Linked DNA regions of Diceros bicornis minor. The protein of the gene in region 2 interacts with the protein of the main gene of each other region in a pairwise test. Links are inferred from orthologs where the notes say so. Each region holds a gene or a part of one and is shown on either strand. Other genes may lie near its edges.

Region 1 (16,080 bases), on a different chromosome or scaffold from region 2:
AACACTGTCAGTTTGCCTCTGAAACAAGGGAAGATGAGCACGACTCTGTTACTAACCCAAAATCAAGGAGAGTAAAAGGAAAACCACACACCTGTACACACACACCTATACACACATACACACTCACCTATACAAACATACCTACACTCATACCTATACACACATACATACACACTCACACACCTATACACATACATATCTATACACTCACCTATACATACATACCTACACACACCTATACACACATACTTGCACACCTATACACATACATACCTACACACACTCACCTACACATACCTACACTCACACCTATATACTCATACACACACCTACACACTCATACATACCTACACACACTCACCTATACATACATACCTACATTCACACCTATACACATACATACCTACATGCACAACTATACACATATACACACTATACCCACACACACACACCCCTACACATGTACATACCCCCCCACACACCTATACGCACATACCTACACACACATTCACCTATATATACATACCTACTCACACCTATATACATATACACACACACCTATATACACCCACATACACTCACATCTATACACATCCATACCCTTATATACTGGCACACCTATACACACACACCTATACACATACATACCTTCATACACTCACACACCTATACACACACACCTTCATACACTTGCACATCTATACACACACACACCTATACACACATACATACACATACACTAACACCTATTCACACACAGATACACACATACCCCTAGACACACAAACCTACACACACATACATACTCACACACACACACTGCATACATAAAACTCACCCATCTACGGCCAACAACAGAAACCAGATGAAATTAAGTAGGGGCTGCACAAATGGAGGGCCGTTCTCAATTGACGGGTGCTTCTGTGTGTAGGTTGTGAACACCACCGACGCACTGCTTTTATTTTTTAAACAGAGAAACCTGGAAATAAGGATATCCTAGTAAGTGGGAATCCTGAAGAAGGAAGAAACAGGGTTTCTATAAACATTTATGTGAACATTGAACACAGAATGCCACTGCAGGCACAGAGAGCCTCAGTGGTTACAGCCACCACGTGTGCGGGCCTGTGACATCCTCTCCCAGGCTGTGTGCCATGTGGCACCCATGGCCGGAACAACAGCTCCAATTACTGAAGGCCCGCTGAGCCAGGTTCTGTGCTCACACAGGCTGCCCCCGGTGAGCACAGCAACTCTGCATTCTCACAATTTGCAGGTGAAGAGAATTAAGCTTGGGAGGGTGACGCATCCAAGGTCAACAGGGCTCTGAGGGGTGAACTAAAACCTCCATTTTCTCTGCACCCATTAGGCATCTGCCTGCGTGAGCAGTCACCCCAGGTGCCCCGGACACCATGCTGGGCATGGGGACAGGCTCTGGTCTCTGCCCACGGGGGACATCTCCACAGCTGGACTCCACTGAGGTGCCGGCCCTCGATAATACTTTCTTTTTAAGGCATAAAGAGGGATCCACGAGAAGGGGTTTAGTGATCTCACACGCAGTGCCAAGTTCAGTCCAGAGAACGTATCTAAACAATATGCCACAAAGCCAGGGTCATTCAGTTCTGTATTTTAAAAAATGTTTCATTTTTAAAGTCAACGTCAGCAACAAATAGTACGCTCAGAAGCTCCGAGGTGCTATAAAGTACAGCAAGTCGTTGTGACCCAGCCCCCTTCAAATTCACAGAACACTCCGACCCAACGCCCGGCTACCAGATCAAAGTGTCTCTGTGGGAGGAAATAAACCTCTCCCCGTGACACATCTCCATCAGGAAGGGAGGATGGGCCCAAGTCGGGAACAAGCAGAAAGGGAGGCGCTTGGGCGGGCGGCCCTGCCTGATGTGGGCGCTCACTGCACAGCCCACTCAACCGTTGGACGTTTCAACATCTCAAGATGACTGCTGGAGAGAAAACGGGATGAGGAGGCCAAACGGGAGCAGAGGGACAAGACAGGATCCAGTGGGAATGAACGCTGGCTGTGAGAGGCGCTATCCACGTAGTGAAGCGTTCAGATGCACAAACCTCTGGAGAGAACAGCATAGCCTCTGATAGCCTGCTCACCCCACATCCCCAGATACCAGGTGAAACTTACTAAAGACGTGTGTCCTACAAAAGAAAGGTTGTCTGACACTGAAGAACCCCCAAAACATAAAAGAGTTAATAGGGAAAAACAGAAAATCGATGGTAACAGAAGAATGTTAATTTAAAACATTAAAACTCACTTCTTTTACTGCTCAATTGAAATCTTACAAGTGCCTGAGAATTCCGCTGGCTTAAGAGAGTTGAGAGGGACAATGTCTGTTGTCCCCAAGAGGTCTGCAGCAGGGGTTGCAAGGGCAACACTCGAGTGCGACCCTAAGTGACTCAGTGATTACCCTCCCACGTGTCTCGGTCAGGTGATGAGGTGACCAGCTCAGAGGCTGCCTCTGGAACCCCACAGCCACTGAAGCAAAGAGGCAACAGGTGCACACAGGTACCTACTGTAGGACAGCCTGGGCCACAAACATGTCCACCTCGCTGCGGAATCCCCTCGAGGTGGAATATTCCACCAGCATGTTGGCACAGCCTTCACCGTCAGTGGAGTGCAGGAAGTGATATCGAGATTCACAATAATTTTGTTCTATGAAGGCAAAAAGAGAAACCCGTCAACACAGACGTATCACAAACATGACGTATCAGGGGGCCTGAAAGACACCACTGCACACTCCCCACGCACCCGCTCTCGTTCTGCACAGCACTCCCCCTGCTCACACCGAGTGCAGCAGTGTAGACAGCGCACCGTCCTGCACACGGCAGCTCCACCAACATCTCACCAGCCACCTCCAATCCAAAGTCAAATACAAATGGCCAGACAGGGCAGGTCATTCAGCTCAGCTGAGTCATGCCAGCTGCCCCGCGTTCCCACATCAACATTTATATCAGCCGAACCGTGAGAAATGGCCAACAGGGACAGACTCTTTTGACCTACACGGATAGCAATTTCATACAGACATGATGAAACGAAATGCAAAATCCTGACACCAAGTCCACTGACCCCGACACACAAGCACCTTGAATCCCAGAGGAGCAGCCAGGACCGGGTCGAGGCCCGCCTTTCTCCCACAGGCCCGTAAGTCCGCCAAGAGCCCGCAGCCCCGCTCCCAGCCCATCCGCTCCCGCTCTTTCTTCTGCAGCACTTTCCACCCTCGAACAGACTCTACACTTGAGTTAATCGCCATGGTTACCGTCTGCCCCCCTCCACAAAGAGCTGAGTCCCATGAGGCCAGGTCTCATCGAGGCCGGCATGGAGCAGGCACCAGAGAGAAGCTCCTCTGGATGCAGGGCTGCTCATCCCACTGGGAACAGGACCAAAGTGCCTGTGAGAACCAATGGGTCCTGTATGCGGCGGGATGGTGGCGAGCGGCCTGTCTCTCCCGTCACCACCACCCTGGACTTGCACCTCTGATTTGTGCCCAGTAGAGGCTGGACTGTCCCCACTCAGGGCGGGGTCACCTGCGAGCTGGTCAGGAGGGTGGACTCTCCAGCCCTGAACTGGACCTGCATCCTAACAGCTCACTCGTGTGCACAGTCAAGTCTCAGTGGCCCTTTCTCAGTCCACGTGTCCCGTGGCCACACCTTTCATCAAGGCGCCAAGTTGCAGTGCTCACAGAGCGAGAGGGGAGGAGGATGTGAGCCCACTAGGGAACACGTGTCCTCTGACGCTGAGCTGTTTGAGCATCTCTGTTGTCAACTGGCTGATGGTCCCGACCTGCCCATTGCCAGTGGGCGTCAGGCTGTGAACTGGGCCTCCCATGCCACTCTGCCCCCCGCTCACCACTCACAATGCCTCTGCTCTTCTCCCACGTGCTGCCCCCTACACCAGCTCCTCCCATAGTGATTTCACCCCCGACACAGGACACTTGGCAATGTCTAAAGACGATTTTTGCTGCCACAGCCGTAGGTGCCCTTGGCATCTAGCTGGAGCCCAGGGACACTGCTCAGCACCCTGCAGTGCACAGGACACCCAGAGAGTTGGCAGCGCCAAGGCAGAGACCTGGTTCCAGGCCGAACCACCACCAGTTCCTGCTCAGACACCCCAGCTCCTCCAGGTCACCTGCCCACAGCCCGGCCGTCTCCCACAACAGACCGATCACCCCCTGCCCTGCTCACAGGCCACCCTGGCTCCCACTCATCCTTCCAGGGTAAGGTGCCGTGCCACCCGCCCCAGCCCGGCCCCGTGTGCCTGCTCTCTCCCATCTGCTACTGAGAACATAAGTTCCACCCAGGGAAGGCAGCCCCGCCTGCCCTCCAGGGCTCTGCATGAGCGTGGCACCGCCCCCACCACCTAAAAGGCGCTCCTAGCCTGGCATTAGCTCTTGGCACCCGGCTACTGCCTTCAGGAAACTCAGAATGATACGGAGTCAGCGTTCCTTTCTGCAGTCGTGTTTCGTTTGTCTCCCTTCTCTCCCTCCAACCCACAAAAATAACCTTTTGGTTTTAGAGCATCCACATGAGAAGAAAAATGAGGCAGGTAACTAAGCCCAGAAGTTCACGCCGGCATAGGGCCCCCTCGGAGCCCTGGAATGGAACCTCAAACACCGCATGTGGCGAGGAATGTGAATGGGGGCAAGTCGTGAACCCCAACCAACAAGGCGCAGGCAGTGGCCCCAGGACGCCCAGCAGAGAGCAGTTCTGGCCTCATACACCTGCCTGGAGGGGAGCCCCATCACTGCCTTTCTCAGGCTGGGCTCCCGCAGACACCCCCAAGCACGGCCCCTCCACACGAACTGGACACCCACACAGAACACTGCACATCTCTCCTGACAGTCTGTGCTTGAAGAAGAACATTCAACTGTCTCTATCCTGAATATTTAACACTGTAACAATAAATACACATCCTGAACCACCGAGGCCGAACCATCATGGTTCGCACATTCTGCTTCACAGACGCAGGGTCCCCATGGGCCCCACAAACATGGGCCGGGCAGGAGGGGTGTGGAATCAATGGTTGCTGGTTCCCACCTGCACATGCAGGCCCGACTCCTCTGGAAGACTTTCCCCACTGCCCTGTCGGGCCAGCCAGCAGATGGCCACGTGGGCTGCAGAACGGCACTTACCAGGCGTCCCGCACTGAATAAGACGGACTAATTCTGAGGGCAAGAGGGCGTGCCGGGGGAGACAGACAACAGCCGGGAAATAAATGGGCGCTGTGAGCGAGTAGCAGGAAACCTACGCTAATGAGGATGGCCCGGACGGGCCATGGGTGACATCAGGTGAGTTCTCAGGGATGAGGAGGAACCGGCTAGAAGCGCTGGGAGGAGGCTGAGTTTGGAAGAACGAGGCGCCCATGGGGAATGTGTGGCCAGAGGGAGGAGGGAGCCCGCTGGCTGTTGTGCCCGAAGGCGCCAGCTGCTCTTTCTCAGTAACGTTTCTTTTCTGGGTTAGAGTTGGGGGAGTGACTCAGCCACATCCTCTAAGAAGAGCTTCCTTAACTTTCTGGACTTCGAATTCTCTCAGGTCTGACCCATTATTCTCATTAATGTCCCTCTGGGGTGAGGGCAGGGCTGTGCCAACACCCAGAGGGACAGAGGAGCCTCACACCCCGCCTGCCACAGCAGGCGGGAGATGGCGAGTGGAGCGTCACCTGCCCCGAGAGAAGAAGGGACAGGCGAGGAGTGTGCTGCTGGACGAGGACCTGTGCATCAGCCCCACGGAGAGCAGAGGGAGGAGCACGCCCTGGGGTGGCTGGCTTGTGGAGCAGACAGACATTTACCCCATCCCCTGCCCCGAGTCAGAATGGCCGTTCCAGGAGGGCTGGCTGTTGTGGGTGCTATTCACAGGCTCATCTGCACTCACGTCCAGAGGAGAGGTGCCTTCAGCCCAGACCCTCTGAACTCTGACAGCTTCAAGCCTCGAGGCCCCGCCCTCTGCGCCGCAACGAGTCCCTGACCAGCATCGCCCTCTCTCCACTGGGCCCACCAGGTGACGTCCAGTGAGATGGGCGCACACACTTATATCTGCAACCAGGGCACGTGGAGGACCCAGCGAAAGCAGCTTTCTAAACCCCACCATCAGCCATCTTTCTAGTCACTCAACCAGCAGCTCCTCAGTGCCCTTCCCTGTGCCCAAGCAGCAGGCTCGGGGCTCGGGACATGCTCCCCACCCTCACGGCCTGACCAGTCCCCACAAATGCTCATTAGAAGATGTGACAAACGCTAAAAAGAAAAAACAGCGCCTGGCGCCGTAAGAGTGCTGGTCTGGAGGGACGTCTCAGGAAGGAGGACCCGTGGTGGGAGGAGCGAGGCCGCTGCCATGAGGACTCACAAGCCCCTGAGAGAGAAGGGGGCAGCCAAGGAAGGGTCACATGTGAAGGGCCAGCCCAGCGCGGCCGCCCTGTCCTCCCCGCTGCCTCGGCGCTTCTCCTTTGAGCGAGGTGACTCCACCGAGAGGAGATCCGCTATCAAGGCACAGACATTCACATTTAGCAAGACAGAAAAAACCCAGCCCGCGTTATCTCCGAGAGCAGGATCTCCCCTCCTCATCAGCTGTGGCAGATGATTCCAACCAATTAAAATGGAAAAGCAAATAAAAGCCAAAGGAAGCAGAGAGAGGGACACCTGCTCCCTGGACCAGCTCGCTCCCAGCCCTCTGGGAAGGCCCTCGGGCCGCCCACTCCCACACTTCCGAGAGCCGCTCTGCGCATGGGCTCACCAGGGCCTACCTTTCCACAGGGTGAGGGCCAGCAGCTGGTGGAGCCGGGGGTGGCCCAGTTTCCCGGATCCTCCACTGGACCACTTCAGGGCTCTAGACACAAAGGCCACTCGCTCCGGAGAATTTGGATCCATCAAACTAAACAGTTTAGCCAGATTTTCTAAAAACAACACAAACACAGACTCTTACCCAAAGGAATACACCACTTCTTCGTACAGTGCATCTTACAAAAATTCATTGGAAACAACAATTATTTCACTGCAGTAGAAAGCTGAGAAGCAACCTGCGTGTTGGTGGTGTCCCAGCGTACCCCCATGGGTCCTGGTGCTGTTGGGGGCCACCCCCAATTGACCTCCCCGCAGCAGTACCAGCAGCCACTGCTCCTTTCTGGCCTCACGGCTTAGCCCGCACTGGGGAGCTGGGCGGAGGGTGGGCTGCGGTGGGGAAGTGAAGCACCAGGCTGGCAAAGACCAGGAGCAGGACCCCTTCTTCATCTTCCCAGCTGGCAGCTCACAAGATGGGCTCCCCAACTGCATGCTCGCCAGAAAGGACAGGCCAGCAAGCCAGGTCTCTGAGACAAAATGACGCCCCACCTTGCCCACTGGCTGGCTGGGAGGCCATTGTCCATCAGAGCAGTGGACAGTATAGGTGGCTCCCGTGTGTGTGTGTGTGTGGCTACGTGAGAGCAGCCATGAGACCGTCTCGAGTGCACAGTAAGAAAGCCTCACCCAAGAGCTCATCGGCCACCTCGACGTCTGCCTTCTCCAGCGACTCTAAGACCAGCATGGACAAGTCTGCAGCACTGTTTTGCTACAAAACATGGAAACGAACAAGAATCCCACAGTTAGAAACAAAGCTCTGGCCGTTTTCAGAATGCACGGCAAAGCGAGGCAACTGCTCTGGGTTCCAGGTAGAAACCTGTGACAGAACAAAGCTGAGAAAACTCTTCTGAGCAGCGGAGTCACTTAGCAACACAGCCCGGATAGCTGACTCCCAGCCTGGGGTACACCCACAGAGAGCCGGGGGCCCTGCATCTGTGCCCCTGGACCCAAGGACACTCACCCAGCTGCAGGCAGAGCGGCCAGCACCAAGGACAGCCTGAGGTCATCCACCAGGTCTCTCCCTGGACATTCCCACCCCAACCCTCAGGCCCCAAGCAAAGAAGACCACGGGAGAAGCCCGCTGCTCACCTGGCCGTGGCTGAAGAACAGTAGCGCTCCTGAGCACATGAGCTCCCGGGCCTCTGCGTGCTTGTTCTGTGACATGTACCTGCAACGGAGACAGAGGGGAGCAGAGCGCCAGTCAGGGGCAGCTACCCACAACGCTTCACGCAGATGCCCCCAGAGTCTAACACACCCCTGAGTTCTGTCCGCCAAGCCACACAGGGACGGTTTCGGAGAGCAGATGCAAAGATAAGGCATCTGCATGAATGTGCGAGCATTATGAAGCTGGCGATCCCAGACACACACACACCTCCCACCAAGAACGGAAACAAGGCTGTTTTCTCTCCTGAGGTCTGCCGCCGCACCGAGTGGTCAAGGCACCCTGCCCCTGGGGTCTGTCCAGGCTCCACACTGGGGTGTCCCACAGCCCAGCTCCCCCTGGCCTGCATGAATCCCCATTGTCGGTGATCTGGGCCTCAGGGGACCAGCAGACCTGTGCCCCCTGCAGCATAACTATCTGATAACAGTGCGGGTGGGGGACCCTGCCTGGGCCCAGAAAGGCCTGGAGCCTGAGCAGCGCCTCCCTGCAGCCACTCCAGGGTCTTCAGCAGAAGGGAGGACTTCCATCTCAGGCACAGGCCTTGCCATGGTGGCAGGTGCTGCATGAAGGGGCGGGTGATGCACCCTCATCCCCTGGAGAACCACAGGTCAGGAGTGAGGCAGGGAACAAGGGACAGTGGGAGCTCAGCACGGAGGCTGACTGGGGGACAGTACCCACAGTAACTGCGTTGACCTCAGTGTCGGCTGCCAGACCACGTGCCCCCAAGCCCCCTCCCTGTGCTCCCCTCTGACTTCCTATGGGAGGCACAGGCCTGGGTGGGCGCCATCACCCTTGGTCGTGCATCACCCTCCCACTTTGAACATGTTTCTCACAAAGTACAGGAGCTGGGAAAAGCTGGTTTCCTGAACTGCAGAGGGACGGAAGCACAGAGCAGCAAGAAGCCTGGCAGGTAACGTGCAGACACAGAACAGAAAGGACGACGGTCCACCTGCAACAAACAATGTTCAGGGAGCAGACCGGGACTGAGCTGTTGCGTGTGGCACAGAGCCCCTGCCCGAGACAGAGAGTGTGAAATAGCAGAAAACGGCTTCCCAAAGCGAGGCACAGCCTCCAGTGGCAGCCGGCACAGCTGGCGCCAGAACATTTAACTCACCGGCTGTGTATTTATCTCAGTGATTATCAGAAAAGAAACATAACCAGTCAACCAAAACTGTGCCTCCAGCCCAAACAAATCCAGTTCAGGAGAGAAAGGAAGTAAGCCGTGGACGGGCACTCTCAGGACACGGCAAGCGCCGGTGCTGGCACAGGGGGCTCAAGGCCGAGCTTCCCCGGAGCACACCAGGGCCACAGTCAGGGGGGAATGCGAACGGCTGGCTGTTCCATTAACCACAGAAAAGGTCTTTTCTTCAAAGAGGCTCCGCAACCAGACACCCCCAGGAGAACACAGCCCCACTCCAGCCAGCACGCAGGGATCCAGCTGGCCCGGACACATGCCCCCATCTGGCTGTACAGAGGTGCGACTGGGAGGAAAAACCTGCATCCCAAGAAAGAAAACCACTGTCAGCCCGCAGGTCACCAGCACAGTCTGTGGTTTCTGCAACAGCGCCGCTGGGGCGGAGTCCTTTTCTCTCTCACACACGCGGCCTGCTCCCACAGCAGCCCAGGTCATCCCAGTCTAATCCTACGGGAGCCGCCCTGCACATGACCTGGTCCCAGCACCGCCATGGGGTGTTCTGGAAAAACAAGTATTCAGAGGTGCACAGCCTCATGCTGCCACCTGCACACACACAGAACTGTCGGCATTTTTCCTAAGTGACAACCACGCCAGCTTGTCTTGGCTTATTCATGACACGACAGAGTTGTAGACTCTTCTATGTGAGGTATAACAATAGAAAACCTCTTAGAAAACCAGATGAAAGAAAAAAAAGTCCCTGAAAAGCAGATAAAATTCTTGGGATAACGGAGCCTGCTTTCAGGAGGCAGTGATCGTGGCCCGTCTCAGGGCACGGAAGCCCACACAGGGGAGGGGGGTGGTGACCCGTCTACTGAGCACACACGCCACCAGGATTCCCACCAGTCATTCCCCACCCAGTCAAAGTCGCTGCTGCAGATCAAGGAAAGCTGGGGCGGGGGGGGGGGGCGGGGGGAGACAGTGAACGGCCACTATGAAAAATGAACGTGCTTCTTCCTGCAGAACTTCGCAAGTGGGAAGGGATCTGTTGAAGGGACTGACCAGGGGTGAGGTGCCCTCCAAGGCCTCAGGGGCTGGGAGCAGCCGGAACAAGACCCCTCCAGCACAGCGCCACCCACGCAGCCCCTCGCCTCTGCAGCTGCGCGTCCACACCTGCGCACCGTCGAAGTTGGCCTCTGCGTCCCCGATGGAAGGACGTTCCAGGCTGGCATGTGCCGGTGCTATCTGCCCACCAACTGATATGGCAGCAGCACATCTTTAGCCACACAGGATCACGTCTGTGCAATTATTCTAGTTTATTTTGTTCTTATTTTTTAAAAAAAGAGAGCAGAACATAGAAATGGAAGCAGTAATATCAGTGATAAAAACTGCAGATGTCAAATTAAGAAGACAGAGGTGTCAAAAGTCTCCGCTAACTGAAGCCCTGATGCAGCGGGGCTCAGGCGAGCTCAGCAACCCCGCCTCAGGGTCGCCCCTAGAACCCGGCTGAGCTGACAAGGCACAGCTGCCCATGTCCTAGCCACCCCTTCAGGAAAAGTCCACCCTCCGCATGGGGTTGCAGAGAACACGCGTTTTAAATTTTCCTTCTAAAAACTTCTTCATTCGACTTAAGAGGCAAAAGAAGGTTACAGGCCACAATCAACAATCAACACGAGTCTCAGGAGGGCCCTGTCAGTAGGAAGCCCCGATTTCAGTTAACTCACAGCGGGCCTGGGCCAGCTGCGGAGACCCCTTGAGGCGACAATGGCAGCACGGGGCCACCATGCCAAGCAGTCATGCCAGCCTCGGGGTTTATTTAACCGAGTACCAATAAACCAACAGGACGGGAAAACAGACTCCCTCCTCGTCCTGGCGGAGAGAGACCTGAAGAGACAAGGTGACCGCCCACTGCCAGCAGCACCACTGACGAGACAGAGCCAAACACAGACGCCCTGCCTCCAGCCCAACCAGCTGGACCGGCGACTACTGCCCACTCCTGTGGAACAGCCCCCCCCCCAAGTCCAATCTGTTGGATTGTCCAACTCCTTCTCCTAACCTCCTTAAACTGCTGTGGGATATAATGTAAGGGAATTAAAATAGTATAACTTGGTAAATGTATCCAACACGTGAATGGATAAATGAACTGGTCCATCCACACAACGAAAGACCCCTCAGCAATGAATGAACTGCTAACATACACATGGATGAATCTCCAAATGACCACGCCAGATGACTTCAGATAGAAAAACAGGACCTACTCTGTTATTCCACGTCTATAACATTCCAGATAAAAAAAAACAATCTATCATGACAGAGAGATCAGCGGTTGCCTGGGGGCAAGGGGTGAGAGATTGATTATAAAGGCAGATGAGAAAATTTGGGGGGGGGGGTGATGGATATTTTCGTCTTGCTTGGCAATACTGTCACAGGCCTGTACATATGTCAAAACTCACCAAGTTGTACATTTTATATAAATACTTAAATATAGATATATATATTTGTAAAAAGACATTAAAAAAAGACTAAAATTCAATGAATTTGACTTCTCCAGGAGTTAACCATTGTAGAGGGCTCTAACCCAGGGCTGGCATCATGGGTCTCAACACGGTCTGTACCCTGGAGGGACAGGGACAACTCCGGGCTATTTCTGTTAGGCCTCCAGGATGGCCACAACTGCCACCGCTGACCTGGTCCACTGCATCCCCCATGAGGCTGACGGCAGATTGCTAACTTCTCATCTCTCCTGGAGAACTGTAGGAGTAGCCCAAATGACACACGAGGAAGCCAAGGCTCAGAGAGGAGCAACAAGGTGTCCCGGGTCACAGGTCATGGAGCAGAAGTGGACTGTGAGCCCAGGTCAAGGCTGGGCTGGTGGAGAGCCTGATGTTCATCACCACCCCACAACGTCACCATGAAATGCATCCCGGGTGGAGGGACTTACCACTTTAAAGCTAATCGACATTCACGTTCCTCATGTAGCAGCCACTGCAGAACTGGCTCAAAACAAGGAGCACCGTGTTTATTTCTGGGATGATCCAGTTTTGCTGATTAATCACTGGGGCAAATATTTATATATATACAAATCCCCAAGAACAGCAAGCACTGGGGCAGACCTTGAGCAGACAAAAGCTTCCCGTCACAGATTTCTGACTGGCTGAGCCGCCTGGCGGGAGGCTCAGTGTCACAGAGTGTAATGCCCACACACATCTTCCTCATTCCTTGAAGAACCATCAACTCACTCCTAACTGGTCCTCTGGGCCACAACGTGCCACATTTAACCCAACCAAATTGGTAAACTACAACCAAAGCAGAAAGCACCACTAGAGTTCCCAAGATATTGATTCAACTTGCTATTTGAAGAAAATTTTAAAATCTAGGCCTAAAAGGTATAAATGCCCGACCCACTGCCCTTAAATATCTTACCAAAACATCTGCTGTTCTGCGGCAGTTGAGAAAGAAAACGCACTCTGTAGAACAGATTAAATCCTCTAAAACTATCTTTAATACATACCCAAGTTCTAATGAATCGCCCAATTGTTTTCTGGTTCCAACTATAAAGGATCACAGATGTGTAATTCACAAGAATGTCTCACACGTATAAAAACGATTTATGGCAGGGGCTGTGTGACAGCAGAAATATTGTGACACACTGCAGGCCAAAAAAATTAATGCAAGCTACACAGTTCGTTGAAAATTTATAGGGCCACACTAAAATAAAAACCACTTTATTTAACCCAGTAATATACAACCATCGTTTCAACATGAAATCAATGTTTTAAAAGTTGCAACGAGTTATTTCACGTCCTTTTTTGCACGCAGTGTTTGAAGCCCGCGTGTGTCTACACTCACAGCCCGTCCCACTTGGGACTCACCACGTTCCAGAAGCTCAGAGCCGCACGTGGCCAGCGGCCAGCGCACTGGGCAGCGCAGGTACGACACCATCAGGGTAATAAAAATAGCTGGTTTAGTAACAACACATAGCATGCGGGTGAGCAAGAGCGACCAAACAAGCAGAGAAACGTGTTTAAACCCTCACGACTGAACTCCTTGTGGGAGGAACCGTGAGACTCCGCGTGGGGGTTTCAAAGGCAACGGCGCTAGGGGCTCGACGGTGGGAGAGCCGGGGGAAAGGAGAGCGGGGTAGAGGACTCAGGCCGGGAGGTCAAGGGCAGGGTCCGGGGTTGGGGGTCTGGGGTCTGGACAGGGGTCCAGGATCGAGGGCCCATGGTCTGGGTCCGGAACCGGGGCTCCGGGGTTTGAGTCCAGGGTCTGGGTCCGGGGTCGGGGGTCTGGACAGGGGTCCGGGATCTGGGGTCTGGGGCGGGATCTGCGGTCCGGGGTCTGGGCCGGGGTCCGGAGCCCTCCCCGGGCCGCCGCACGGCCGCGCGCTCCGACCCTCGGCGACAGGCAGCGGCGCGGGCCAATGGGGGGCGGGGGCGGGCGCCGGCGGCGGAGGCCCGGGAAGGCGGCGGTCGGCTACCTGAAGAAGAGGGTCCGGTACATCTGGTGCGCCTCGTAGTAGTCGCCCTTCTCGACGCTGGCGCGCAGCTTGCCCTCCACGCGCTGGACGCCGCCGCGGTTCCGGGCGCCGTTCCGGGCGCTCTCCTGCTCGGCCATCGCAGCCGCCGCCATCGGGCCGGCGCTCCGCGCAGGGCTGACGCTGTCGCAGGCGCGGTCGGCAGCGCCTCTCGGCTTCCGTCCCGGCGGCCGCCCGACGCCCTCTACGGTGGCCGCGAGGAGCCACGGAGCGCTGGGGGCCGGCGGGCGGACGAGCGGCCACGTGACCGCGGGGCGGGGGCTGCGGGGCCACCACGTGACCGCGGGGCGGGGCTGCGGACCGCGGCTACTTGACCTCAGGCGGGTGCGCTGACCTCACAATGGCGAGCGCACGTGAGGGCGGAGCGGATAGGCGCGGCGGAGGAGAAACTGAGGCTCGGGAGTCGCGGCGCTGCCCTACCCCCAGCCCCCCAGTGCCCGGGAGGGTAGTCGCGGGTGAGGCAGCTGGCGTTCCAGCGACCGCCGACACTTGAACCGTCCGGCCGCTCCAGCGGAGTTTCGGGCGGGCCGCCCGGAGGCCTGGGCGCCGCTGCAACCGCCCGCCTCAGCCGTGGCGCGGGCGCGCCCGGTCGTCAGCCCCGCAGACGGAGGCTCTCGGTTCCCAGCTGGTGCCCGCGGTGAGAGCCCGGGGGCTGTTTGAGGAGCAGTCCTGCCCTGAGAGGGGCCCCGAGATGCTCTGGTGACAGGGAGGGGGGGCGACAACGGCACGTTGAGTGTGCCATCGTTGTGTCAGAAACGGAGGGGAAGCACGTGTTTAGGTTTTTCCTCATACACGCGTGTTTGCAGAAGGATAAGAAAGTGGTGACACGGTGATAGGAACGCTCGTCCCGGGGCAGCTGGTCTGGGGTAACCCTGGCTCGGCCTGAACTAACGCACCTCCGCCACGGCCTCAAACCCAGCCCGTCCACCCCGTGCCCCCGCTGAAGCCAGGAGCGCGGGCAGCCTCCTCACAGGGAGGCACGCGGCGTGAGGAACAGCGCCCCCGCGTGTCTGACGCGCACCCCTTGTTCTAAGAAAGGAGAAACGAATGGAAGCTACGCTTCCCCCGACGTTCTCCCTTTGTGGAGCCGCTTTCCCGACGGGTCCCCAGCGGGGCTCGGCGGAACCCCACCTTCTCGCTCCTCCAGAGAACAGCCGGTTACGGGTCATCTGCCTGGACAACCGGTTGCCCCTGAAAATCGACAGACGGGAGGTGGAGGCAGGAGGGAGCCTTCGCGGGCACCGCTCTCTCCGGGGACCTTGGCGCTCGAGTCCTGCCACCTGCCCCGTCCAGCGTTTCCTCAGCGTCACTCCTCCCGCTGTCCCGACCCCCAGTGTCACCTCCTCAGAGGGCTGCCCAGCCCCTTCTCTCGTGGCACGTGGGCCTCCCTCAGCTCCGCCCTTGCTCGCAGTGACCTCCGCGCGGTGCGGCACACACCGGCATCCGGTAAACACGGAGCGAACGAACTCTGCTCCGGCTTGATGGGGAGCCGTGCCAGCGCCCACCCTCAGCAACAGCGGCCCAGGGACAAGCGCTCCTCCGAGGAGACCCATCCCCTCTTCTCCCAAGTTTCTCCTCAAGCAATCTTCTCTGCACTGCAGCCTGTTCTCCACGTAAGGTGGCCATGGCCCAGGGTAAAGCTGGGGGAGCTGTGTGAGGACACGTCTCCATTAAAAAGCCCGTGACATAGAACGTGGCAGAAAGAACAGGCACATCTAGTCGTTCCTCCCCCAGACCTCCACGGGCAGAAACAAAAGCAAATTGAGAAAAGGGAAATATACTGTTTATTGTTCATTTGAAATATCACATGCACTTTTAAAAATTAAAACTCTTTATTTAAACATTTCAACAGCATCTTATTAATTTGGTGGCAGCAAAGGAAGGACTAACAAAGACAAATATTTTGAAAAGCATTTACAAAAATACATTGCACAGAGTCCTATCCTGCATCATTAAAAATAAATTAATATTCAAAATATTTCCACCCAACTCCCAAATTTAGTTTTATATAAGAAATTTTGATTTATATATTTATCCTGTAATATATGAAACATCTGTATACATTTTATCCAACTTAACTGCATAGGCATTAGTTCCAATTCTAAGAGTGAAAAAAATGCTACTTTATGTAGTTTTTGTATATTTGAGGACTGTTGTGCAATATACATAAAACTCTTAAGAAAACCAGTCAGCACCATCATTTTATCTTTTTCTGAAAATACAACATTTATGGTACACAAAAAAAACTGTCTTAACCCAATAAAACTTTAAGGTAAAACATCTGTGACATTTGACGTGCCTTGCAGACACCTCATTTATAAAGTCTGCTCAATGAAGAGTCAATATTAAATATTAATTATAACCAAACGAATCTCTTGGGAAGTGAGTGAGAATGGCCGACAGTCGC
Region 2 (15,977 bases):
CCCATATTTACTGAAAAGAGGATACAGACGACCACACCATCCGTTTCCTTTTTGAGGGGTTTAACGCTCCCAGTTTCGGAAATAACAAACCAGACAAGAACTATGTAGACACGGTCACCATCTTTTCTCTTAGTGAGCAATGTTTTACAGTCTGATTGATTAAAACAGCAAGAAGATAATCAAACAATTCTGACGTGGTGTCCACTGCTGCTTCAGCAAAGCAAGCCCAACAGAGCTGACACAAGGCCCCCTGCACCTTTTTCCAGCCTGCACCTCTCACTCTGTCAGTTTTGAGGGATCTCAAATCTTAACAAGCATGAAAAGACCAATTTACCTCCACACCGATTTCTGTGCCTGTCTACTTTCTTCGCTAGAAAGGGAGTTCCAATCTTGCCAAATACAAGATGTATTTAGAACTTGCTTTCTACTTTCAAAATTCACCCAATTCTTTTGGGTTGTTTTTTTGTGTGTGTGAGGAAGATCGGCCCTGAGCTAACATCTGCCACTCCTCCTCTTTTTTGCTGAGGAAGACTGGCCCTGGGCTAACCTCCGTGCCCGTCTTCCTCCACTTTATATCGGACGCCGCCACAGCATGGCCTGCCAAGCAGTGCGTTGGTGTGCGCCCGGGATCGGAACCGGTGAGCCCCGGGCCGCCGCAGGGGAGCATGCGCACTTAACCGCTTGCGCCACTGGGCCGGACCCTTAAAATTCATCCAATTCTTGATGATAAATTCAGAAAGTTACTTTTTTTGCAACTAAAATATACCTTTCAATTTTGTATGGACAACCTAAAATTCTGGGCCCTAGCTTGTGTGTGAGGAGGACACACAGAGACGAAAACAGGCCTTCTCGGGTCCCCTGCCCCCTCTGATATCCTTACCTCTTGGGCAGGTGAGCAAAGGGGTCCTTGGCCTTCGGCTCAGCAGCCAGTGCCTGCTCACATTCATCCATCTCTTCCTCAGGAGCAGGAGCAGCTGCCTTTTTCTCCTCTTTCCGCTCAGCCTGGGGCTTCTGCTTCTCCTCCCTTGAACCTTTCTCTTTCCGTGGGGTGTCCTTTTTAGGCTGGCTCTCTGCAAACTTTTTAGCTGGTGCAGAGGAAGGCAGAAGTGTCAGTGTCCTGCCTCCTTCCATATCCCCCAAAACCAGGCAGCACACAGGACAGCGGAAGAAAATTGTTGGACGGGCCAACTAAGGGATCTAAGCTCTACGCTGCCCTGCCACCAGTTCACTGGACATCCTTGAGCAAGAACACAACCCTCAGTAACAGATATGTATGCATCGTAATTATATATTAACACAAATGAGTGAGAGCACGTGTGCGTATAAAACAAGTTTCACAAAATGTTAGTTACCGCACACGATACTCTACATTCTGTGGGTCCACATAACCAGAAAGCTGGACAGGAAATCCAGGGGTTGAGACTGGGCAAACCATCCCAACCCTGGCCACATACTCTTCAACCTCCTCAGACTTACCATCAAACTGGGCCATCTTCTCACAGAGTTTCACCTCCCCCAAGACAGCCCGGAACTGGGGCTGGTTAATGCAGGTGAGGAACCAGCGATTGGTATTGGGGAAGGCCTGGCGGAAAGAGGGCTCCAGGACCTGCCAGGATGAAGGGTGGAAACAAAGTCAGTGGAGGGAAAGGTCCTGAAGTTTCAAGCCAGAGACCAAAAGACACTTGTTGCTTTCTATACCAAAGCTCCACCTTCCTCTAAACTCCTCAGACAGCAGCTCCCCAGAACACCATCTTACCCTGGAGGGCTACTTCCCATTTACCTTCCTAATCTTTTTTTTGCGGTCCAGTCCCATTTAATGGATGCTTGGTCCCACCTTCCATTTCCTACGAATCTACTTGGATTAATAACATTTATATGGTGGCTTGCTCCTTTTACAGAGCCATTTCACACCTAGAGTTTCCAATCTTTTAAATTTCACATGTCAATAAAATTAAAAAAAAAAAAAAAGGTTGGGACCAATAGAGGGCTAGCAATTACTCATTTTGGCAAATAAATAATAAAAACTATCTACATTAACTACATGATATACATATGTATATTACCATCAATCTTCAGAAAGTCAAGAACACTCAACAGCAAGAAACATAACTATTTCAGAACGGACAGTCCTTTAAATTAAACTTAGCTTCATGAAAAACTCATTTTCCTTTTTCTAGTTTGCCAAGATCAGAGGGAAAATAATCTTGTCATGGAGACAGAACATAGCAGTCAGCTCTGCTGGTTCTGCAGTGCTTGGGGTCAAACTCCACTCCACCACTTACTAGCTACAGGCCCTTGGGCAGGCTCCATTGTTCTTCACCCAGACAACAGGCAAAGACTCACTAAGATTATCCCCGTGAGGCCCTTGGCACAAGGTCTGGCACGAAGTAGGTGCTTTTTTCTTTGATGTCACGTTACTATTCTGGACCTGCATCAGTCCAAGAGCTGCTGTTTAGAAACCAGCACCAAGTCATCCTTTTTAACCCAATAACCTCAACAGTTGATTATCACTACCTTGATTTTATAGCTTACAGAGGATAAAAACAGGACTAAAGGAATTCACACACACACAGCCCTATACCTACAACTAGTAAGTAACGAAGCCAAGAAGTGAACCTAGTTCTGCCTCCCAAAGCTCTTGATGCTGAAACTACCACCCCTATCTCTGTCTTCACAACTAAACACAACTGGGCTTCCCAAGAAATATGGGAGCAAACTAAACATCTTAGCTGCCAAACAAAAACTAAGGCCAACAGAAGATTCCCCAACTTCTCAGGAGACAAAGCAGCCGTATCACTCAGTCCTGGGATTCCCAGACACTAGCTATTACCTCGGACTCCCTCACAAGCAAGTCCTTAGCAGAATACGGGGCAACCTGGAAGACCTGTCACTTCATTTCCAATCCCCACATACCCTCTGCCAACCTGATTCTTTATAAACTTCACCTGTTTATAGAGCCACAACAGGGTGCAAACAACTGTGATGTCAGCCAGTGTCACTCGTTCGCCCACCAGAAAAGTCCTCGTCTTCAAGTGAGCATCCAGCAGCCCCAGAATTCGCCTCACTTCCTCCTTTGCATTCTCTGTGGCCTATTGATTTAAAAGGATCAAACTTATCATTCAGAAAGTAAAGAACATTCAACAGCAAAAAAAGCCTAACAATTTCAGAATAGACAGTCCTTTAAATTAAACTCAGATTCGTGAAAAACTCATTTACCATTTTTTAGTTTGCCAAGATCAGAGAGAAAATAATCCCTTTCCCCCCCAATAAAGGAACTAAGGTAGCTTTTCAGTTACTGAGTCCCAGCCCATCCCTCCCCACCCCTTCAATGGAGTCAGATTCTAGGATCATTCCAAATGTATCACGAACTGAGCTCTCTCAGTGTTAAATTTCTTCATGGTGCAGTCTGGCTTCATTCCCAATGTAATAACCATAGCCCTATATCTTTCGATTCTTGAAGGAATCTTAGAGGTCATCTGATCTAACCACTCCCCCACCATTTGGTATATCCTTCCTACAGCAGAAATCGCTCTCTCCTCTGACCATGCATGACAGACACCACATCCACTGGGTCTGACAAAGAACCCAGATACCATCAACAGCCCAGCGCTCCAAACTTTCACCCCGAAGATTAGGTCTTCTCATTACCCAGATACTATTGGTACCTTTCTCAACCTATTTCTTAGTCCCCATCACTCAGGAGCTGATGTAGTCCCTGCCCATGGCTTCTCCCCAAGTTTCAAGGCTCACCTGCTTGTTGTGGTGCATGATGCCCAAGGTGGGGAACACCCAGGTACTGGCTGGGGGCACTATGTCACTATCAGCAAAGCTCACCCACTGGACCACCTGGGCTGCTGCCTCTGGAGTACTTCCCCGCAGCTCCTCATTGCTCACTGCAGAGGCAGAACAGAAAGGTCAAAACTTTGGAGTCATGCCAACACCAATCCAGGTCCCTGAAAATTCCTCTCCGTGTCCACTGTGGCTCACCCGCACCCTCTCCTACACCCCTCACCTCCAGACCCTCCCATTTCCACATCCACTGCAAATTACCATAGTAAGCAATGGCATTGCTCTCAAACACACAGAATCCATCATCACCCTCAAATGCTGGAACCTGGGGACAAAGCAGACAAAAGATAAGTAAAAAACACAGTCATCTCTCACTAGCCAATCCCAGGAACTGCACTGTTGTGGATACAAGTTTTTATATAAGGCTGACAACTCTTACTAACCAAACTCATCATACTATCTGAAACTCAGGAACCAAAAATACTTGAATAACTTGGTACCCCTTACAATCTGAACTCACACAAGAAACCCAAAAGATTTAGCTATCATCAAACATTTGTATAAAACTCCTCAATCAAATAAAGCAAAAGGCCAGAAGCCAAGTCTTCTATTGCTGTCTATATTATTCAAAGTATTATAGCACTCTACACACTGTACTTGGTCTCTTCTACTCTTAGCACAGTGATCTATCTCTGTAAGCCCCTTGGGGGAAGAATCCTGCTCAGTATATTTGCACTGAAAACAGTCAAAACTCATTCTCTCTCATAGAAACACAAAGTAAGCCTGTGAATTTTATAAAGTCACTGAATAGCACTGTATTATTTCTAACTACATGTGACTCTACAATTATCTCCAAACAAAAGTTTTTTTAAATCACCAAAATGTGAAAAAAAAAAAAAGATAACATGGAAAGCTCCCTTTTAAAAGATGGAGGCCATCTTCAAGGTGACAGAACCTTATGGCTCCTCGGGTTCTCAGGACCCAAGGCCCTTCTCCACTTCCCTACTCACCTTGCCGGCAGGAAATTTACGGAGAAACTCAGGGGTGCGGTTGGTTTGGCCAAAGTGGAAGTGGGGTGGTGCGGAGAGCACGCGGATCTGAGCCCCGCTGTACTGAGCGGCAATGAGGGCCTTGAAGGCCCTCCAGTTTTCAGGATATGTGTACAGGGTCTGTGCCAGAAAGAGGAGGCAAAGAAATATTAGTGTGAGTAGAAGGGTTCCAGTCCTAAGTGTCACCTCCCAGAATGACTTCCCTGAGTGATCCCAACCTGTTCAACCCACTCCTTTACTCCTCTGGTGAAGTGAATTCCTTAGTACCTGTCATGTGTAATCAGAGCCCTCCGAAATACCAGAGGACAGAACGACACATCAACTGCTAAATAAAGCTTGTTGACAGATCTGACCTTCCATAAGGACATCTCCAGAAGGATTCTCTTCCCCTCAAATCTATCTCCAAGAAATCCAGAAGTCCTAGGTCCCAAGGACTCCATCTGCCGCCAAGCATCCGCCCCTCCCTTCCCCGAGCCCTGGTTTCATTCATTGATGGTTTCCCGGTGCCTGCTACTCTACTGCTGAGCCGCTCACTCCTTCCTGAGCATCACTCTCGTCTCCAAGGCACACACACTCCGACCACGACATTCCCAAATTCCCCCCAAAATAGCCACGGAGATCTCCAACGGCATCTCCTCTTCCTAAATCAACTCGATCTCCCTAAAAAGCCTTTCTTTCCTGTCACGCGCACCATCACTCCCGTCCCGTCCCGCAGTGAGTTCCCTGGTGTTGCCTTTTCCCCTTCTATTAACCTGACCAGCGGGGTCCGACTGGTCTGACTCCACCGTCCGGAGGTTCCTCTCGCTCCCAAACCCCCCTGATGGATGACCCTTAACTGAGGCCAGCCCACAAAGACCCTCCTCTTCACCCCGTCCCTGCTGTTGTCCCACAAAACGGTCGCAAAAGTTCTGTCAACCTGCCCGGATCCCACGTCTCGAGGCGGCAATGAACCCGCACCCCTTGCTCTGGCCCCAGACGGTCAGGATCCGGCATGTTTTTTCTCCTCTGCCCCAGACCCTTCCACCTCTTTGGCCTCCGAAAGCCCCAGCCTCAGTTCCCCTCCGGAGCCTTGGAAGCCCTGCTCTCCAAGAGTACGGTCTCTAGATCCTGGGTCAGCCCCCCATTCGGCTCCAGAACTCCTCTGACGCCGGCTGGCCCCACTCGGGCAGAGGATGGCGTCGGATAGGGTGACTGGATCGCTAGAGCCGGCAAACTTACCCCAGCCGCCATGGTGATTCCGCAGAGAAAGGGGGTGGGGATCTCGGCGCTGCCGCAAAGTAAGCCGTCAGGGAGGGAAGGGAGGGGGGAAGGGAGAGCCGCGGAGAGACAGCAGCCGGAAAGCGAGGACGGCATAGAAGGCACACGCACGACAGTTCGGTATTCCGCGGCGACAGGCTTAGAAAAAGAAGGGGCGGGGCCTGCTGGCCTGCGCGGAAACGGCTCGCGCCTGCGCAGTGGGGCTCCTGGCTGGCCCGCCCCTCAGATACGGCCAATCGGAGTCCCGAGGTGGAGATAGAGGGCGCGGAGGGAGGGGAAACTGTGAGAAGTAGCTGGCAAGGCGCCCTTTGGCGGCTACGTGGCACAGCTGCCAGCCCTGTGCGGCGCCGGTCCCCGAGGAGGCGTTCTCTTGCGGCCTGCCGGGCCCGCAGTGTGATGCCTAGGGACGAGTGACTTGATGGCACGTCCTGCCAAGCCCCTAACACCATGATTGTGTGACACTCGCTGGAGCAGAAACAACTCCTGCGGAGGTGGCGGCTCGCCAAATTCCTTTTGTTCCCGCTGTGGTTTTCTAGCGCAGAGGACGTGTATCTAACCGGAGCCCAAGTCTGAAACCCTCTGTAAAAGTGGGGTTTTCTCCCATAAGCCACCTTGCAGCGCCTCGCTGTTACTACTTCGAGAAGAAGCGGCGCTAGTCCTGGAGCCTGCGGCAGAGGAGGGAGGGGCCCAAGGGAGAGCCCAGCCGCATCCCTTCCACCTGTCACCCTGGGGGGAGGCTGACAATTTAAGACAGATTCTGATGGGTTGCCCTTTACCCATGTTCAGGTTTGAAAATCTTTTCTCCAATTTAAGAACAGGATGAATTCTCCTGTTAAGTGAGAGAATGAAGCCCCTGAACCCAAATTTCAGGCCCTGTCACCATTCATAAATCTGGGAAGTAAGGTCAGTGTGGAGGCAGACTTGGTTCCTCTCACAGGTGCTACTCAACCCACCCACCCAGTACACCACAGTTCCAGAACTGAGTGGGCTCCAGGAGCCTGACTCACACGGTCCTAGGCACTCCCTGCAGTTGTGATAAATGGTACGCAGGACAGAAATGGGCTGCTGAGGTGGAGGAGCAGGGCGAGACCTGCTGTACTGGCCAGAGAAGGCACCTCTGAGAAGGTTGCATTACTTCTGGGGAGGGGAAGTACTGGGTGGGAAGAGGGTTATTACCGGGTAGAAATTAGAGGCAACTGTAGTGTTTATTAAACTAGCAGCTTTATTGCCCTTTAGGGCCCTGTCTTCACTTTAGGAGATTTCTAAGTGCTTGAGGGAGGAAAACCTGTAAGAAATGATGGAGATCAGGGAACAGGCCTTGGGCATCCCGGAGTGGAGTCACGGTGAGAGTGTGGTCAGCCTGGGAGGCAGCCGCCACAAAGGTCAGAAGCGGCTCAGCCTCTGGCCTCTGTTCAGCACTGCTCAGTCCTCTCAGCTCCTGGGTCACCCGAGCCTCAGTCGCCAGCCACTCTGCTCCTGTGCCAGCGCCACCTCCACCTCCTTCCTTGGTTTGCTGCTGCAAGCGTCTCCGGGCACGCCGCCGCCCCTGCCACACTCGGTGCCACAAGGCACAGCGCCAGCTCACTGAGGAGAGCAACACCCCCTTCCCTGTCTCACCTTGGGACCCTTCTCGGGCCACCTCAGGTCCTTGGGGCCCCTGCTCTGCCAGCGCTACATGGCTTGACTGCCCCTCTTCTCCCGTGGCTAGATGCTTGCTTGTCAGGAGCAGCTCCCCTGGCTGCCCAGGGCTCCGCATGGCCCAGTCCTGCACCGTCTCGCCAACCTCTACAACCATTTCTTCCACCCCATCTTCGCGGTGGTCCCCTGCACATTCCTGCTGCTCCTTCTTCCCCTCCTCACAGCTTTTTTCCTCTCCATCTAGTTTCAATCTTTTGCTTGTCCCTCCCTGGGGAGACTCCCCAGTTCCACCTCCCTCTGACCGCAGTCTCTTGGTTCCCTGTTCTATATGGCACCCCAATGCTTCTCTTAACACCTGGACCAGGGCAGCAGTGAGCTGGGTGAAGGGAGCAGCAGGTAAGGGGATGGGTGTTGCAGACAGCAGGGCACTAGGGGAACTGGGCTGCAGGAGGGGGAGCAGCCCCCAGTCCCGACCCCGGGAGGAACGGCGCTGGTACTGGAGGCTTCGGCAATAATTGGCTGCTGCTCGGCAGCAGTTCTGTAGCCGCCCGGCCACCCGGCTGGTCACATTGGCTGCCACATTGTGGCTCAGGTCAAAGGGGTCCTGGAGATTCATGGGGCCAAGGCGCAGACCCTCCCAGAGATTAGAGGGCAGGCCCCCTGCCACAGGCAGTGCCTGACCCTCCCGCAGGGACAGCAGTGAGCCACGAAGATCCCAGCAAGAGACGCAGGAGAAGAACTGGGCTAGCAGGGAACCTGGAGCAAGAGGAAAACCAGGGAAAAGGGCCACAGCTGAGATAAGCCCTGCAGCAGAGCCACTCCCTCAGCAGGACTTTCTTTTTCCCTTCCAAGGGGCTCAGAAGAGTGCCCAGAAGCCAGGCTCCTCTGATCCCTACACACAAGAGGTCAAGCCTCTCTCCCTGTGCCCCCAGCCACGTCCTGCCCCAGATGCTGCTCCTTCCCCTTGCTAACAGTGTAACCTTGGGCAAGCCACTTAATTACTCCAAGGCATGGTTTCTTCATCCGTCAAATGGCAATAATATTAGCTCTCACACGAGGTTGCTGTGAGAGCCATGCCTGGCACACAGTAACTGTGGGAGGTATGTTTCCTACTATTGTGATTAACATCATTTATTAGTCCTCTACCAGGCTCCCCAGACTCACTCAGGGGCTCCTTATTGGTGCTGGGCTCCAGTCTCGAGGCATCCCTGGGGAAGCTACAGTCCCAGCCATCAACCTCTACCTGTTCACCCTCACCTGTGAAAGTAAAAAAGGTGAGAGTCAGTCCAGAAGCAGGAAAATGGGGATGGAAACGAGGGTGATAGCAGAGACATCTGATTCCCAGGGTAGCTTAGTGTATCTAAGCGAGGTGAAGAAGAGAGAGAAAGCTAACAAGATCGAAAGTGGAGGCTGGGCTGCTGTACCTGCTTTCTGGGTGAGCTGGGCCACAGTGGGCAACACAGGAGGGTCCCTGGTCTGAAGGAAATAGATCACGAGCAAGGTCAGGGCGTAGTTATTGAGAAGGGGGCCACTCCCTGGGTAAATAATCAATAATTCCAGTTAGATTAGAGGTGCCTCCGATCCCCTCCTTGGCGGTTTTCTCAACCCCGGTTCCTGTACCTGCCTGTCTTTCTCTCCCTGAATCCCTGCCTTTGCCCTGACACCAACCCAGCCCCAAGTCTGTCTTGATTCATTCTCACCTGCCAGCCCTCGACCCTGAGCCCAGCAGCGGAGGGTGTACACGAGGGGCCGTACTCGTCCGTCCAGCTCAGAGCAGAGACTCAGGAAGCGGGAGTTATGCAGGGCCAGCCTGGGACAAAGGGAGACAAGGGTGTGAGGACTTGGGAACCCTCTGACCTATCATCCCCAGCTCTCACTCCAGACTTGCGCACTGGGGGCCAGCTGAAATAAGGCCAAAAGAGGGTTTCCAAAGTGTTTGCTGACACACTGGTCTTGTGAGAGGATGTACAAAACGCCAAATGTGTTTGGGAAACACTACATCCTAAGAATGTCTCGGACATTCACAGAGCATGTTATTATAAGGCTGCTCAGAGCCTTTAGTATGCAAAGCAACAAAGACAGGAAGGGAGGGAGAATGGGAGGACAGGAGAAAGAGAAGGAAAGAGGCAGTAGGGGAGGAGGGGGAAGGAAGAAACCTGTGCATTTAACTTAGCATTTCCCAAACATATTCAACCATGGAACTCTTTTCTAAATCTCTTAAAAACAGTATTCTAAGAAACACACTTTACGAACATTGACGTGGAAGCCAGAAAGGAGATGAGTGGCAGAAAGGGGGATGGGACCAAACAAGGATACCCTTGAGGCTCAGGAGATGCAGGACAGTCCCACACCAGGGCTCCCTCCTCAGCCACCCCAGAATGCTCAGCTGGCCTTCCCCAACCACCCTCTTAAACAAAGGTACCGGTTACTGAGGGAGACGTCACCGTGGAGACCTGAAGGCCGATGGCAGAACTTGACCACAGGACGTCGGGCAGAGGGCACTGTTTGGACTCGGTACACTCCAGGGACACAGCCCCGAAGAATGGATCCCACCAGCTCCAGCATGGCTACGCCCTCTGTTTTCTCCCCGTTCAGGGCCTCCGTTCGTTCCAGAGCCTTCCTCGGGTCCGCCTCGCCCCGGTCCTCCTGCAGTGGTGAGGCTGGAGGCAGGGACTGGGGAGAGGCGAGGGTCTCAGAGGCCAAAGCAGAGTCCGGAGTCCGTGGTGCCAGGGAGGAAGATGGGATTTCAAAGTCCAGGGCTTCTGAATCTTGGGGAGAGGTTGGAGGCTGCGAGTCTGGAGGGGAGGCTGGGGTGCAGGCCAGGGCTTGAGGATCCACTGGGGACGCAAGGGCTGAGTCCAAGGATGGAGAGTCAGGAGCCTTTGGGGCTGGCTGGGGATGGAAATGAGCTGAGTGAATGCTTCTCCTGCTGTACCCCAAGCCAGGAACATTCCCGTCCCCAAGATATATCTGTTACTTACTGCTTACCTGCCAGGCCCTATTCTAAGGGCTTTATATATATTAAGTCATTTACTCCGTACAATATTTTTTTAATTAAAAATAACCTTTTAATGCCATACAATAAATGGTCTGTATTCTGCAAAAATGTCATTGTAATGAAAGACAAAAAAAGGCAGAGGAGGGCCGGCCCTGTGGCTTAGCAGTTAAGTGCGCGCGCTCCGCTACTGGCGGCCCGGGTTCGGATCCCGGACGCGCACCGACGCACCGCTTCTCCGGCCATGCTGAGTCCAAGTCCCACATACAGCAACTAGAAGGATGTGCAACTATGACATACACCTATCTACTGGGGCTTTGGGGGAAAAAAAAAAGGAGGAGGATTGGCAATAGATGTTAGCTCAGAGCCAGTCTTCCTCAGCGAAAAGAGGAGGATTAGCATGGATGTTAGCTCAGGGCTGATCTTCCTCACAAAAAAAAAAAAAAAAAAAGGCAGAGGAACTGTTCCAGATTAAAAAAGACAACACAACAGTCCACTGTCAAAGTAGCTGACCCAATTGGAGAATGGAATGTAGATTAAAGTCTGGTAAAGTTGTACACTTGTACCAGTGTAATACTTCCTCAAATTGATAATTGTGCTGTGGTTGACACTAGAATATCTTGGTTCTTAGGTGCCACACACTGGAATAGTAAGAGGTATAGGATAATGATGGATGCCACCTACTCTCAAATGATTCAGAAAACAAAAATAATGTGTTTGTGTGTAGACAGAGAATGATAAAAGAAATTTTATTTTAAAAATAACCCCTTTTGCAGGGCAGAAGGTATCTGGGAACTTCGTACTTTCTGCTCAATTTTACTGTGAAACTAAAACAGTTCTAAAAAATAAAGGCTTTTAAAAACACAACCGGGCCGGCCCGTGGCTTAGCGGTTGAGTGCGTGCACTCCGCTGCTGGAGGCCCGGGTTCGGATCCCAGGTGCGCACCGACGCACCGCTTGTCCGGCCATGCTGAGGCTGTGTCCCACATACAGCAACTAGAAGGATGTGCAACTATGACATACAACTATCTACTGGGGCTTTGGGGGGGAAAAAATAAATAAATAAAATCTTAAAAAAAAAAAAAAAACATAACCCTTGGGGCCGGCCCAGTGGGACAGGCGGTTAAGTGCGTGCACTCTGCCGCAGCGGCCCAGGGTTCACCGGTTCAGATCCCGGGTGCACACCAACGCACTGCTTGGCGAGCCACGCTGTGGCAGCGTCCCATATAAAGTGGAGGAAGATGGGCATGGATGTTAGCCCAGGGCCAGTCTTCCTCAGCAAAAAAAAGAGGAGGATTGGCAGATGTTAGCACAGGGCTGATCTCCTCACAAAAAAAAGAAAAGAAACATAACCCTTTCCTATTCCACAAGCAGATAGATGTCAGAAAATACAGATGAGCAAAAACTTAACCCAGAAATTACCTTATTGTATGTCCTTTTATATATATTTTTTCCAAAATAAGACAAGATACACACCATTTTGAAATCTAGTGTTTTCCTGTTATAAATGCTATCTATCCCATGTCAATTCATTTTTATCCTATTGAGTACCCAGCCACATTCACATTTCTCCAATTACAATAACCCTGTCAGGTGGGTCCCACTGTCTCCATTTTACAGATGAGGAACTGAGGCATGAGAGGTAACTGCTTGCCCAGAGTCACATGACACTTCCCAACTGCCTCCCTGGTCACTCACCTGGGGCTCTTCCAAGTCACCCAGATCCAGGAAGAGGTCAAGATCACAGCCGTGGACGTCGAAGCTATTTATGGAAGAGCCAAAGGGATGGACCACACAGCCTGGGTGCCGAGTGGAGAATAAAGGTCAAGAGACATTGGGAAGAGTAGAGGGTGGAAGGACATACTGGGGCATGAAGGAGGAAGAGCAAACAAACACACCACTAGCTGAGGGGAGACTGGGCGCAGACGCAGGAGAGGGAAGGACAGGGAGGGCACAGACACAGTGAGGGAGGTGACTTACCAGGGAAGAACTCTGTGAAGACCTCCTGCATCAGGGCCACCACGAGGCTCCGAAGCTGCCGCTCAGCCTGGGACAACTCCCTCAGCCCCACGAGCTTTACCATTTGTGCCCCCACGTCAGGAGCCTCAGCGAGTGCTTTGGCCAGCTGGTGACTGTCGGGGGCCGCTCCCTTGGGGGATTTGGAGGCGGGGCTCTGGAACTCTTTCTGCTCCCGTGGTCGGACCCGCAGGCGATGTCCTCCCAGGCTGTGCTGGGGCTGTGACAGGACAGCTTCCCGGGCACCCACATCCCCCATCTCCACGATGGCAAACACTCCCTGGCAAACCACAACAGGGGCAGGGATGATGGTTTTGGAACCAAGAATCCAGACACACAGTCTGATAGTGGGTGGGAATCTTTGAAGTGGGGACCACCCTATAAATTGAGAATATTTGCTTAATGTTTCTGTAACAACAGGGAACATATTTAGAAAAGCAATTCTCTCCCTCACTTCTATCCCACACATTTTACTCTCAGCCCAGCTTGCCTCTGAAAATCTCATTTGACTTGTTTCATCCTCCCCTCCTCTTGCCAGTAATGTGATTTCACTGCTATACCATGACCCATCAATCCCCTAACTTTTCCTGCTTTAATTAGACTCTTAATATTGATTAAGAATCCATGTAATGAGCACTGTGCTAGGCATAAATACAAACACATAAACCCTATCTTTGACAAACTTACCATCCAGGAATAACAGCAATATGACAGCATGCTGCTATGATTTGGCTGAGTTCAATGAAATTTTTGGGCCATGTTTTTTTCAAAAGGTAAAATGTTAGCAGGAGCAGGAAAAGATATGACTGCTTTGGGGCACAAGTCCATATTCTTTCATATTCTCTTCAGTGGTAAAGCTAAAGCCTCATCCTACCTATAAAAAGGTACCCTCCACAGTAATCAAGACAGTGTAGTAGTGGCATAAAGACAGACATTCATATGAAGGGAATGTTATTGAGACTCCAGAAATAAACATGTACATCTATGGTAAACCATTTTCAACAAAGGTGCTAAGAACATTCGATGGGGAAAGAACAGTTTTCTCAACACATGGTGCTGGGACAACTGGACAGCCACATGCAAAAGAATGATGTTAGACCCCTACCTCACACCATATAAAAAATTAACTAGGGGGATGGCTTCGCCACTACACAGGCCTGAATCACAGATGGGGAATGAGTGATAACGGGTATGCAATTTCTTTTTGGGGTGATGAAAACATTCTGGAATTATATAGTAGTGATGGTTGTAGAACTTTGTAAATATACTTACAACCACTGAATTGTATACTTTAAAAAGATGAATTTTATGCTATGTAAGTCATATCTCAATTGAAAATAAAAGGGGGTACCCTTCCTACTCTCACTTCTACCCTTGTGCCAAACAGAGCAAAGAACCAAAGTGAAACCAAGGAGAAAGGCAGCCACTTGGACCTGCCCAGGCCGATCTTCTGACTCTGAGGAATCACACAGCTCACCAGCCTGTGGTTCAACACCAAGTATACAACCAAAGGCCCAGCTAGAAATTAGGTGGCTCTATGCCTGGCCTTGTCTCTGTGCACATATTTCTCTCAAGAATCCCACAGAAGGCATCAAGAATGGCAGGATTAGCAGATTCAGAAGCTGTGTCCTGGACATTTATCTCCTCTCAATACCAGCATCCCCAGCTAGAGTCACCATTTAATGAGGGCTTATTATAAACCAAACAGTTCACATAAGCTATTTCTAAGTCTCATAAGACTCCTACAAGGTATGTATTATTATTCCCATTTTACAATAAGTAACTTGTGACTGCCTCCCAAGTAGGGGCTTAAACCCCCAAATCTCCACTTCCCAGTGACGATCTCCCTCAAGGAAATGTCGTGGAAGGGCCGGCCTGGTGGCATAGCAGTTAAGTGTGCGTGCTCCGCTGCGGTGGCCCAGGGTTCGGATCCCGGGCGTGCACCGACACACCGCTTGTCAAGCCGTGCTGTGGCGGCGTCCCATATAAAGTAGAGGAAGATGGGCACAGATGTTAGCCCAGGGCCAGTCTTCCTCAGCAAAAAGAGGAGGATTGGCGACAGATGTCAGCTCAGGTCTAATCTTCCTCAGCAAAAAAAAAAAAAAAAAAAAAAGGAAATGTTGTGGAGATCAAATGAGGTATTGTATGTAGAGTACTTAGCACTAATTTGTACACAGTAATTGCTCAATAAAAATTTTATTCATTATTGTTATAATAATTAGAAGCCTCAGAAACTCGAGGTTTAAGTTCAGAAAAAGATCATTCTTTATAACTGAAATAAATATGACCAAAAATGGGGACACTGAGCTTTCTTTTTTTTTTCCCCCTTTTTCTCCCCAAGGCCCCAGTAGACAGTTGCATGTCATAGTTGCACATCCTTCCAGTTGCTGCATGTGGGATGCCGCCTCAGCATCACGGGACCAGCGGTGCATCAGTGCGCGCCTGGGATCCGAACCCGGGCCGCCAGTAGCGGAGTGCGCGCACCCAACCACTAAGCCACAGGGCCAGCCCTGAGCTTTCTGAAGAAGTAACCTGGGGCAGACACTGCCAATTGCCCACCCAGTATACATTCTCCCTTTCTTCCTTACTAACAGAACCCCAATTTTTGTTCAGAAGGGCAAAGTGCCCAGCTAAAAAAAAACTTCATTTCCCAGGCTTGCCTGTAGCTAGGGATAACCATGCAGTAGAGTTCTGACCAATGAGCTATAAGTAGAAGTCTACTGAAGAAGCCTCTGGAAAAGGTATTTTCCTGGGAAATAAAGAAAAGGGGGGGAGGGTTCAGACTCAGCAGACAATGGCTTTTATACTCTGCCCTTCAACCTGCCCTTCTTCTTGCCTTAGGATGTGGAAGTAGCATTATCACAACCCTGAAGTGAGAGCCATGTGCCAATAATGACAGAGCAGGAAAACAGTAAAACGCTGGACTGCCTAAGTCTGGACTTCTCGTTAAAAGAGAACAATTAAACCCCTTTTGTTTAAGCCATTGTGGGTCAGCTGCTGAATGCAATCTCTAAGAAAAACACACCCCACCCTATCCTAAGAGACGACCTGGGCTGCTAAGGAGATGTGGGATCACCTAAGCCACCCCTACAGAACTAGAGTGCAGCCTCAGAACTACAGTTATGACCACAGAACACAACACCACAACAGTGAACTTTCTTCAAGGGACTAAAGAGACACTGACAAAAGGTCTGCATGGAAGCAAGACAAAAAGGACCACAAAGAACAAGTTTG

The links.
Region 1: the proteins of EEF1G (region 2) and GET4 interact in a two-hybrid assay, tested with the Homo sapiens proteins (2 studies listed by BioGRID and IntAct, with this or other methods). The link is inferred for Diceros bicornis minor from reciprocal best matches to the Homo sapiens genes EEF1G and GET4.

Annotation. Positions count from the first base shown.
Region 1 is NC_080765.1:13,628,519-13,644,598, forward strand, and holds the start of GET4 (Golgi to ER traffic protein 4 homolog), read right to left. Parts: upstream 10,008-16,080; 5' UTR 9,110-10,007; coding exon 8,838-9,109; intron 8,348-8,837; coding exon 8,222-8,347; intron 8,011-8,221; coding exon 7,932-8,010; intron 7,552-7,931; coding exon 7,470-7,551; intron 6,902-7,469; coding exon 6,752-6,901; intron 2,672-6,751; coding exon 2,533-2,671; intron 980-2,532; coding exon 839-979; intron 19-838; coding exon 1-18. UniProt on the Homo sapiens protein: As part of a cytosolic protein quality control complex, the BAG6/BAT3 complex, maintains misfolded and hydrophobic patches-containing proteins in a soluble state and participates in their proper delivery to the endoplasmic reticulum or alternatively can promote their sorting to the proteasome where they undergo degradation.
Region 2 is NC_080770.1:10,508,344-10,524,320, reverse strand, and holds the start of EEF1G (elongation factor 1-gamma), read right to left. Parts: upstream 6,098-15,977; 5' UTR 6,069-6,097; coding exon 6,057-6,068; intron 4,959-6,056; coding exon 4,800-4,958; intron 4,115-4,799; coding exon 4,051-4,114; intron 3,894-4,050; coding exon 3,751-3,893; intron 3,090-3,750; coding exon 2,946-3,089; intron 1,607-2,945; coding exon 1,477-1,606; intron 1,086-1,476; coding exon 881-1,085; intron 1-880. Other genes in the region: TUT1 (speckle targeted PIP5K1A-regulated poly(A) polymerase), read right to left, coding at 7,342-8,489, 8,898-8,990, 9,158-9,268, 9,434-9,543, 10,156-10,625, 12,426-12,526, 12,708-13,023. UniProt on the Homo sapiens protein: Probably plays a role in anchoring the complex to other cellular components.